2 linked regions of the Arabidopsis thaliana genome follow. The protein of the gene in region 2 interacts with the protein of the main gene of each other region in a pairwise test. Each region holds a gene or a part of one and is shown on either strand. Other genes may lie near its edges.

Region 1 (5,628 bases), on a different chromosome or scaffold from region 2:
TCTTGTTATTACTCTCTTTTAAAGATGAAGTTGATGATTATTCTGATTTCTTACACTCTTATTTGATTAATTTCAGGCTATTTAGGGATTTGCAGACTAATGAAACTCAGGGAGCTGGATTTGAGCAGCAATGCTTTAACAAGTCTACCTTATTGTTTGGGTAACTTAACGCATCTTCGAACTCTTGATCTATCGAACAACCAATTGAATGGAAACCTGTCTTCCTTTGTGTCTGGTCTACCATCAGTGCTTGAGTACTTGTCGCTGCTTGATAATAACTTCGACGGTTCGTTCTTGTTCAACTCACTGGTCAATCAAACAAGACTCACAGTATTCAAATTGTCATCAAAAGTTGGTGTGATCCAAGTTCAGACTGAGAGTTCATGGGCTCCATTGTTTCAATTGAAGATGTTATATTTATCGAATTGCAGTCTTGGCAGCACAATGCTCGGCTTTCTCGTGCATCAGCGTGACTTGTGCTTCGTTGATCTCTCTCATAACAAGTTGACAGGAACATTCCCGACTTGGCTTGTGAAGAATAACACAAGGCTGCAGACTATTTTACTAAGTGGGAACTCATTGACAAAGCTTCAACTACCTATTCTTGTTCATGGCTTGCAAGTTCTCGATATCTCGAGTAATATGATATATGATTCGATTCAAGAGGACATAGGGATGGTGTTTCCAAACCTGAGGTTTATGAACTTTTCTTCAAATCATTTTCAAGGAACTATACCATCTTCGATTGGGGAGATGAAAAGCCTACAAGTCTTGGACATGTCTTCTAATGGTCTATATGGGCAGCTACCTATTATGTTTTTAAGTGGTTGCTACTCGCTAAGGGTTCTGAAGCTCTCCAACAATCAATTACAGGGGAAAATATTTTCGAAGCATGCAAATCTTACTGGTTTAGTTGGGCTTTTTCTTGATGGCAACAATTTTACTGGGAGTCTTGAAGAGGGTTTATTGAAGTCAAAGAATCTTACTCTTTTAGACATATCAGATAATAGGTTTTCGGGCATGCTTCCACTTTGGATTGGTAGGATATCAAGGCTTTCCTACCTATACATGAGTGGTAATCAGCTAAAAGGTCCTTTCCCTTTTCTACGACAGAGTCCTTGGGTTGAGGTTATGGACATCTCACACAATAGCTTCTCTGGTTCGATACCAAGGAATGTGAATTTTCCATCTCTCAGAGAACTAAGACTACAAAACAATGAGTTTACGGGTTTAGTTCCGGGAAATTTATTCAAGGCTGCGGGATTAGAAGTGCTTGATTTGCGGAACAACAATTTTTCTGGAAAGATACTGAACACTATTGACCAGACATCTAAGTTACGTATTCTTCTTCTACGGAATAACAGCTTTCAAACTTATATCCCTGGGAAAATATGTCAGCTAAGTGAAGTTGGTCTGTTAGACTTGTCTCACAATCAATTCAGAGGCCCCATACCATCATGTTTCAGTAAAATGTCTTTTGGTGCAGAGCAGAATGACCGTACCATGTCACTTGTTGCAGATTTTGACTTCTCATACATTACATTCTTGCCACATTGTCAATATGGATCACATCTTAACTTGGATGATGGTGTCAGGAATGGTTATCAACCAAAACCAGCAACCGTAGTGGATTTTTTAACGAAAAGCAGATATGAGGCGTATCAAGGTGATATTCTCCGCTATATGCATGGTCTGGATTTGTCGAGCAACGAACTATCGGGTGAAATTCCAATCGAGATTGGAGATCTTCAGAATATCAGGTCCCTGAATTTGTCAAGTAACCGCCTCACAGGCTCCATACCAGATAGCATTTCAAAGCTGAAGGGCTTAGAGAGTCTTGATCTATCCAACAATAAGCTAGATGGAAGTATCCCTCCTGCGCTAGCCGATCTCAACAGTTTAGGATACTTGAATATCTCATATAACAATTTATCAGGTGAAATCCCTTTCAAAGGCCATCTTGTTACCTTTGACGAGAGGAGTTACATAGGCAACGCTCATCTCTGTGGACTTCCTACAAATAAAAATTGCATCTCCCAGAGAGTCCCTGAGCCACCAAGTGTGTCAACGCATGCCAAAGAGGAAGAAAATGAAGAAGAAGGTAATGTGATAGACATGGTGTGGTTTTACTGGACTTGTGCTGCAGTCTACATATCTACATCCTTGGCATTGTTTGCTTTCCTCTACATAGACTCACGATGGTCCCGAGAATGGTTTTATCGTGTAGATCTATGCGTTCATCATATTCTACAGTTCAAGCGTTCCTCAGTCTGCAACTGATTCTGTGGATTAGCCAAGGTATACACCACTGGAATAACACAGTCTTAAAATGCTTTCTTAGTTGATCCAAGTTAGATGAGAAAAAGCTTTTGTATACAAAATATATGTCTTCGATGTCAAATATATACATGATACCAGTTTCAATTTCTAAACATTATCTCATAATATTTGGGCCTCAGGAGCCCATTATAGCCCATAAAACGCATAACGGCTGAATAGAGTCGTACTGTACTTGAAATTGAAAGGCATCTACTAGTAGACTCTAGAGTTTTCTGGATTCTGTTTTCCAATCTTTTCATCGTTTTCGTGTGAAGTTTAAAGAAGTTTGGGACCCGTAAATTCTAGAAGCTCTGGAGATTTCTTGTTCACCACTATAAATACATCATCCGAGTCACCAGCTTTGCTCAGAAGTAGAAATCGAACTCGCCGGAAAATCGTAATTAGCTATCTCAGCATTCCAAACATCTCTTTCGCTTTCGAAATCAAATCGAGAATGTCGCTTATTCCAAGCTTCTTCGGCAACAACAGGCGAAGCAACAGCATCTTCGACCCGTTCTCACTCGACGTTTGGGATCCATTCAAGGAACTGCAATTCCCGTCGTCGCTCTCCGGAGAAACATCGGCGATAACGAACGCACGTGTGGACTGGAAAGAGACGGCGGAGGCGCACGTGTTCAAGGCCGATCTGCCGGGGATGAAGAAAGAGGAGGTTAAAGTGGAGATAGAGGACGACAGTGTGCTCAAGATCAGTGGAGAGAGACACGTGGAGAAAGAGGAGAAGCAGGACACGTGGCATCGTGTGGAGAGGTCGAGCGGGCAATTCTCGAGGAAGTTTAAGCTGCCGGAGAATGTGAAGATGGATCAAGTCAAGGCTTCCATGGAGAACGGAGTTCTGACTGTGACGGTGCCTAAAGTGGAAGAGGCTAAGAAGAAGGCTCAAGTTAAGTCTATTGATATCTCTGGCTAAAGCCAATTAGCTTATGGGTTTCATGTTTATGCGTAAAGACTCTTCTGATTATGGCTCTTGATTTGAATATGGCTCTGTGTTTTGGTAATGATGTATTATAACTGTTAATCCTAATAATTAAGCAAGGCCTTTATATTCTCGTTTCAATTGCTTTTTCTGAAGATTTTAGCCGTAAATTCGATTTTAACTCGGATGGGACCAACTAAACTTAAGTTTAAAGGTTGAATTTTTAATTTAGATATGCAATTTGCATAATCTGATCTTAGTTTTGGTATGACTGATTTGTAACAAAGTCTTATAACAAAAAGTTGAAATTTAATGAAATTATTTCTTCCGTGGTAAACAAAAAAAAAAGAATCTCAAAATTCGAAACTAAATAAAAGGGAGTTTCCGTTTTCACCTCTTGGGCACAAAACCCGCAACGTATAAGGAAAGGAAACAGAGAAATACAGAAACAAAATATATAAAAAAAACATTTGTTCCATTCTCGATCCTTCCGGCTTGCTCAAAAGGTAAAATTCGATTTTCTAGGGTTTCGATTTGCTGCTTTTTGATCTCATTGACGATGATTAGTTGTAGTTTCTTCGATCGATGTTGACGTGAATGTGTATATGCGTAGGTTGATCAGACGCTAGGATTTGAGAAGCAATGGCGAATAGAATAGATCATGAGTACGATTACTTGTTCAAGATCGTCCTGATCGGCGATTCCGGTGTTGGTAAATCCAACATTCTCTCTCGATTCACCAGAAACGAGTTCTGTCTCGAATCCAAATCCACCATTGGCGTCGAATTCGCCACCCGGACTTTACAGGTCATCTCTCTTCTCTCGCTTTCTCTAAATCTAGACAATTTCCCTCCAGATCAATTTGGTGTTTAATCTTAGATTGTGTCGTCGCATTTGCATCCTCTGATATTTGAACAGGCATGTGATTGTTAGATCTGAAGATCTTATGTTATGAAAATGAATTCTCGTTAGGGGTTTATTTTAATGTAATTGTAGCAAATGAAATGGCTCGTCTTTGTTCATGCTTGTATGTGTAATCTTGACTAGGTTGAAGGCAAAACAGTGAAGGCTCAGATTTGGGACACTGCAGGTCAAGAGCGTTATCGAGCAATCACAAGTGCTTACTACAGAGGAGCTGTTGGAGCTCTTCTTGTCTACGACATAACCAAGAGACAAACTTTTGAGAATGTCTTGAGATGGTTACGTGAGCTAAGGGATCATGCTGATTCCAACATTGTTATCATGATGGCTGGAAACAAATCAGACCTGAATCACTTGAGATCTGTTGCTGATGAAGATGGTCGCTCTCTCGCCGAGAAGGAAGGTTTGTCGTTTCTCGAGACATCTGCTTTAGAAGCGACTAACATCGAGAAAGCGTTTCAGACCATTTTGTCTGAGATTTATCATATCATAAGCAAGAAAGCTTTAGCGGCACAAGAAGCTGCAGGTAATCTTCCGGGCCAAGGAACAGCGATCAATATATCAGATTCATCTGCAACTAACAGAAAAGGATGCTGTTCTACCTAATTACAACAATCCAACTATAGTGATTACTAATCAATCAATCACACGTTTTGAGTTTTCTCTTCTGATCTCTTACCAGTTCGTTTCTTCTTTTTTGGTTTAATTTCAGCAAGTATAGTATACCTTTTTCTTTCCGGGTCTTTGTTTTTCCATATCGTATTGGATTTATGTTACAAGATTTTGCTTAGTTGTATTGAACTGTGATCATTCACACCATTTTCTGAAAAAAGAAAGATTTTTTTAGTATCTTGATTTAAAATCTCTTGAAGACATAAGTGTGAATGATTTCCTTAGGATTAGTTTTTGGTTTGGCCAGTTTATATGCTCTTTGATCATTGTAATAGTAGCAGCCAAAGTGGTCTATAAATTGTTGGTCAACCTCTTCTTGGCTTTAATGGGTTGTAATCCTTTTAACTTTTTTCATAATTTCAAATCTTGTTTCTGGTTTCAAAAATCAAAGCGAAATATACTAAAATAGGGTCACTAGGGAGGTGGAAGAGGGTGATGTGCACGTGGGGATGTGTTAGCAATAGCATTCATTTACTCCACCGAAAAGGCCCTGACTCTGATAGAGAGAGTGGTCTTAAAAAAATAAAAATAAAAAGAGTTGGTGAGAAAAATAAAAAAATATCTCAGTTGCCAGATATCTATTTTCATTTTGGTGACAGTCTGTTGTTTGTTTCACTCGTGGCTCCTCTCCCACCTCTTTCTTCTTCTTCTTCTACATCTCTTCCCATCTGTCTCTCATAGATCCATCCATGGCTTCCTTCGTGGAATCTGGTTGGCAGGTACTCTCTCTCTCTCTCTCTCTCTCTCTCTCTTTCTTCATCATAATCTCATCTATCTAATCC
Region 2 (5,324 bases):
GGAAGATCTCCCTTCTGGGTTGGTAGATGAATTGTTCTGGGTAACAGGCGGTGGACATCTTCGTTGACAGATCTGAGTTATCGACTTGGTCATATGCCCTAAAGTTACCCTAAGCCCTCGGGGCTCCATCCGAACCTGTGACTCAACCTTCTCTTTAGCGGAGGAGAATAGTTCCGAGTGAGTGTGCTCCCGAACCAACGATTTGTATACTCTTTGCCCCAGGTACCAATACCCATGTCTTCCTGCTTCTTTTGATTCTCTTACTCTTCAAAAATAAAAGCAAAGCACACCGCTAAACAAAAAGCTGGTATTACCAACCTTCTCAGAGGTTAGGCGATTCATTGAGTCGATCAGTCATCTTTTTCCCAAGACAACTTTATTGTGTGTAGGCGCACAAAGGAAGATCGTAGAATCAGGATTACTCGTCCACTTTCATCGCCTTTTGTTGATCCGTGTCATCCTTGCTGCTTCATCCAATTATTCTTTATTCCTCCTCTCACTTGGGCGAAACACTAGAAACGGCCATTAATTTACGGATCGGTCATACAAGGAGCATACCTACTAATACTTCGGCGTGTGCTGCATTCGAGTGGTTAACAGCATACATCTATTCCCAAATCCCAACGGAGATAGATAGTATCCTTCTGTGCTATCCCCTATATCCTCGTAGTAGGGTTGAGGGCAGCGAAGTCTCCCGTTTATCCTGTCTCCTTCTCTTGGTTAGTGCGTACTACTTCCCAACGTATCTTATATAGAGACATTGGAGGAGCCTGATCTTCCATCTACGCAAAAGAGATGCTTGAGTTCTTCCATCCGCGAAGGCGGTGTGCTCAAATAAGTTAGTTTGTTACGAGACTATCAGGTCCACCAGGATAATTCGAGGTGGATAGCCCTGACTGACAGGGGACTAAGATTAGGAAGCATCCACAAGAGCGAAAGAGCCCTTTTATGTTTGTTTCGCTAATCTTATAGATTGGAAGTTTGCCCAGCACAGAGTAGTAGGGTTATGCTTTCGAAAGTCTTTTCAGAGTATAAGGGAGGTCCATCTTTAGAGATCTGAATGAAAGTTCTGAGCTTAATGGATTCCCGGAACCCCAGGACTTTAGAGAGTCCCAACCCTAAGAAGGCTTGCTCGGGTTGAAAGATGTGATGCAGCACAGACAGAGGTGCGATAGTAAGTCAATTGATCAGGAGAGGTGGTAGCTTCTGGTCTCTCAAGCTGACAATGGTAGTCTAGATAGATATAAAGTTCTATGCTGTTTGCTTGCTCAAGGCTAGAAGCAGGAGTCTGTTATTGATAGCTCCCGTTGCCATTGGCTGTTCCGCCCGTGGTCTTTCAGATAGACGTTCAAAATAAAATTCTTTTCATCCTCTCCTCCTGGCTACCAGTATATGGAGATGGTTTGATTCTGAGAGTTGAGGAACACCAAGCAAGATTTGATTGACATCATCTACGGCTTTGCGCCAATATGAATTATGAATATAGGTTAAGTGAAATCTGACAACCAGCACACTGCTTGATCTCATTAGCAGCTCCGGCGAAGCAGCACAGACCAAGGTAAGCACAGGATAGGCAGTATCTTTATGAAGTCTCGTAAGGCTCAGATCTTTAATAGAAGTAAACTTCAGGTCTTTGTTCTAATAAATAGCCATCTTCGTCCTCAATGGCAAGAAAGAAAGGCTGCTAGGAGTAAGTGGGAAGTGCCAGGGTAAAGCCCCTGATGGATCGATCAACGGATTCTGCAATTTCATCTCTTTCATAAGCGATTAATTCTTGTTTAGCCTTAGTTGGGATTTGGACTCAGAAGCCGAACACAGTTCTTAGATCGATTAAAAGCATGCCGCTTATCGACACTCTTTTTCTAAGGATCTTAGGCAGCGGTTGAAGTTACCAGGGATGGAACCATAGGTGCTTTAGCAACAGCAACTCGACTATTAGAACATGCGTACGTGAGGAGCAACTCGAGTGAAGAAGCAAGTTATGGTGTATTGTCCAATGTGCCCCGCTTTTCTCCATGCTGAGGACTATTCGACTTGTGAGTCAGATTCCGATTTAGTGGAGGAACTTCCTTTTGAAGGCACCCGAGAGCCTATATAAGATTTACCAATTTCCTCAGCTAGATGATCAAAGTCTTGGATGCAGGATGGCTCCAATCTGACAGATGTGGCACCAAAACCTAAAGATTCCTTTACTAGGGTTTGGTGGAATGATAGCCCAAAGAAGATTTTTGGTGTAGAAAGTCTCAAATTCAGGATCTTCCGCTGTACGGATTTCCTGGGAAACGAAGTCATAGGCACGTAGGTTCAGAGCCAGACCGATCACTCACAATATCCCTGGGCAAGCCAAAGATTTTGACCACATGCTTAAGGAACAACTCCGCAGCATCATGGACGGTGCATGCATGTTGCGCTGCTATGAACACAGCATACTTAGAAAAGCGATCCACCACTACCATCACGGACCTAATCTTTTTAGGAATGGAACCCACAAACAAGGTCTTGAAGAGCCTTGTGTTACCTAACTAAAGAGCTCCCAAGGCCACCTGATTCGGAGTAGAGCACTCCTATTTACACTTCGATTCCGCCCACTGATTCAGATCCAGCTAAGGCCCGCAACCAAAGAGGAGACACTTGCACCGGGGTAATGCTACCACACAGGTTTTGAGGCGAGGCGCTGCCCTCTTTCGGGCAATCAACTCTTTCTTGTACCTGGCACTAGTCAAATTGTATCTCGGTTCATGGCATGCCACAACGACTCTATCGGCTTATAGTCATTCCTGGCACTCGGCGCATGTCTTTGATCAACCCCGGTTCCGTCACTCGTATCTGGTTGAACCAGTACTTCCTTTCCGCCGTTCCTAGGGACCACCCACTCCCGTTCCCATGAGTGATCCGAGACAGTACGCGGAGATTAATCGGTCTCTTTTGGTTCTCATTCCAAAAGTTGAGCAGCCTGTTAGCATAAAAATGGCAATTATCCTCCTTCTATTCGTTCTGGATACGGGCCTAGTCCTGAGTGCGCTGTCTGTCTTCTCGGCTGGCCCAAACAACGGGATTGGTCCTGTGGGATTAGCACCAAAATTCCTCGGCATCTCATCCTCCTGTTGCTGGTCATTTCCTAAAGGATCGAAGGTTCAGCCGACGCCTCAAAGTGGATTTGTTGTGCGAAGGGTGCGACCGGGATTTAGAGTTAGAATAGCGGGGAAGACTTGACCTCAGGCAGCGTGAAACCAGTTTATTTCATTCGATGTAGTGGTCCGATTGCCTAGTGGAAGCCCTGAGGCACTTGATTCTTGCGTACGCTCGGCTCCTCTACCAATCACCACAGCGCGAGATGCGCAAGAGTGACCCATCTCTCCACACCAACTGGACCATACAATACACTCTTTATAAGAAAAAAAGATTTGGAACCGAAAGATAGGAAATAAATTTACTTCCAGAGCGGAAGGGAATACTTAACCACGCCTCGAGTCCCAGTCTCCTAGTGGTGAGATGGTAAAGGGCAATGTCCGGTTCTGGCCAAGAGATGTCTTTGCTCCGTCCCCCTTCTTGTTGGTTGGCACAAGCCCTTGTAGTAGTAAGTCTTTCCTCCGGCCGGATCGGATGTTAGAGTCAATTCCATTGTACGTTTGACCATTAAGTGAATGCAAATATAGGTAGAATTTGAATCAACGACCTAAGAGTCTTCTTTTGCCTATCGTAGTTACCTTGATGTGATAAATGGTCCAACTTTCTTGAAAGATATCAGATCTTTAAAGTCCTGCTCATATACATACTAATATGATCGCTACGAGGTCATCCCACTACACACCATCAAGCAACCACTACTGAAGCTATCAACTCAATTCTCTCGTTCGAATGGGGAGATAGATAAAAGAAACGAAACTCTATAAAATATCATAAGAGAAGAAGATTTTAATTCCAGCTTAAATAAGTAAGACTTGACTCTTTAAAAAATTCCGATCAACAACTTGGAGGGATGGCTGAGTGGCTTAAGGCATTGGTTTGCTAAATCGACATACAAGAAGATTGTATCATGGGTTCGAATCCCATTTCCTCCGGCGCGGAAGTGAAACGGGCGGGCGAAATGAGAAGAGCACTACTTAGTGACTAGGAGCGGGGAGCCCGTTGCGCGTTTTTTTGTTTGACCGGCCTATCTTCATAAGTAAGCTCCCTATGGCCGTCCAGTCCCTGGGCGGCTCTCGGTTCTTGAGCATGTTGGGAGATTAGTCGTCAATTGAAAGAGCTGCTCTAAAGCTTGACGAAGAAGTTTTCCCTATTAATTAGATTAGTAAAGGGCTTTTCCCTTACTAGTCAAGTGGTAAGGTAGGGCGCTCTTCGATGAAGAAAAGAAGAGACTTTTGGAAAAGTGGTTCAGCTCAGCTGGTTAGAGCAAAGGACTGTAAATCCTTGTGTCAGTGGTTCGAATCCACAACCACTTCTATTCTCGGAGCTGAGGTATATGAAGAATGGCCTTTTGGTCCTTTGGACACGTAGCCGAGAGCGAGCCGGATTTTTAAAATTCAAGTGAAAGAAGGAAGAAGGCAAAAAGCCGTATAGTGCAGGAGGCAGATGAAAAAAAAAAAGCAATTACAGTGAGACGCGAGGTGTAGCGCAGTCTGGTCAGCGCATCTGTTTTGGGTACAGAGGGCCATAGGTTCGAATCCTGTCACCTTGATTAATGTCTTTTTTTTTGGAACCTTTGTTTTGGAGTTTTCCCAAACCTATACCTTACTCATCTTACTAAGAAAATGGGGCTTATGTTTTTCAGCCGCATCGCACTGCTGCATAAACAATAGATCCGCTGGGCTGGATGAGCAACCTTCTATCTGGCCTCTGTACTAGTAGTAGAGTTGCTTGCTACTTTCAATCATAAAACGAAAATTGAGCAAGGCAAGGGAGAAAGAAGTTGTCCCCTCCTCTCTGGTAACCCGCCGCCGGTCATATAGAGCGCTCCGCCCGCCCCAGCATATGTATAAAAAAGAGGGAAGAAAGAACAACCGTTTTACTTTGGCACATGAGGTGGCGGGTTTGGCTAGGTAACATAATGGAAATGTATCGGACTGCAAATCCTGTAATGACGGTTCGACTCCGTCCTTGGCCTACACCTTCATGACCAGAAATAACTGGAACAAAGGGAAAGCCCACTCAACTAGTAACATACGGACACAAACAACAAAACTACTTGTTACAAATAACATCTTGTTGTTGCATCGAAACATATAAATGTTTACTAATCTGGCTAACATTGAACTTGGTAAAATTAAATGGTTGAATAATTTAAAAATTAGATTATTCGGGAATACACATTGAATGCGAAGATT

What was found. Proteins that work in one complex are often made in the same cells at the same time.
Region 1: the proteins of AT2G07738 (region 2) and AT1G07400 interact in a two-hybrid assay, tested with the Arabidopsis thaliana proteins (one large-scale study listed by BioGRID).

Annotation. Positions count from the first base shown.
Region 1 is NC_003070.9:2,272,375-2,278,002, forward strand, and holds AT1G07400 (HSP20-like chaperones superfamily protein), read left to right. Parts: upstream 1-2,551; 5' UTR 2,552-2,773; coding exon 2,774-3,247; 3' UTR 3,248-3,409; downstream 3,410-5,628. Other genes in the region: RLP1 (receptor like protein 1), read left to right, coding at 77-2,280; RABA2b (RAB GTPase homolog A2B), read left to right, coding at 3,896-4,060, 4,301-4,780; SMO2-1 (sterol 4-alpha-methyl-oxidase 2-1), read left to right, coding at 5,536-5,565. UniProt on the Arabidopsis thaliana protein: Cytosolic mediator for sorting and targeting of nascent chloroplast outer envelope membrane (OEM) proteins to the chloroplast. Functions as an AKR2A cofactor to facilitate the targeting of OEP7 to chloroplasts.
Region 2 is NC_003071.7:3,490,409-3,495,732, forward strand, and holds AT2G07738 (uncharacterized protein), read right to left. Parts: upstream 2,379-5,324; 5' UTR 2,293-2,378; coding exon 2,026-2,292; 3' UTR 1,931-2,025; downstream 1-1,930. Other genes in the region: AT2G07795 (uncharacterized protein), read left to right, coding at 2,884-3,213; AT2G07739 (Ycf1 protein), read right to left, coding at 5,103-5,324.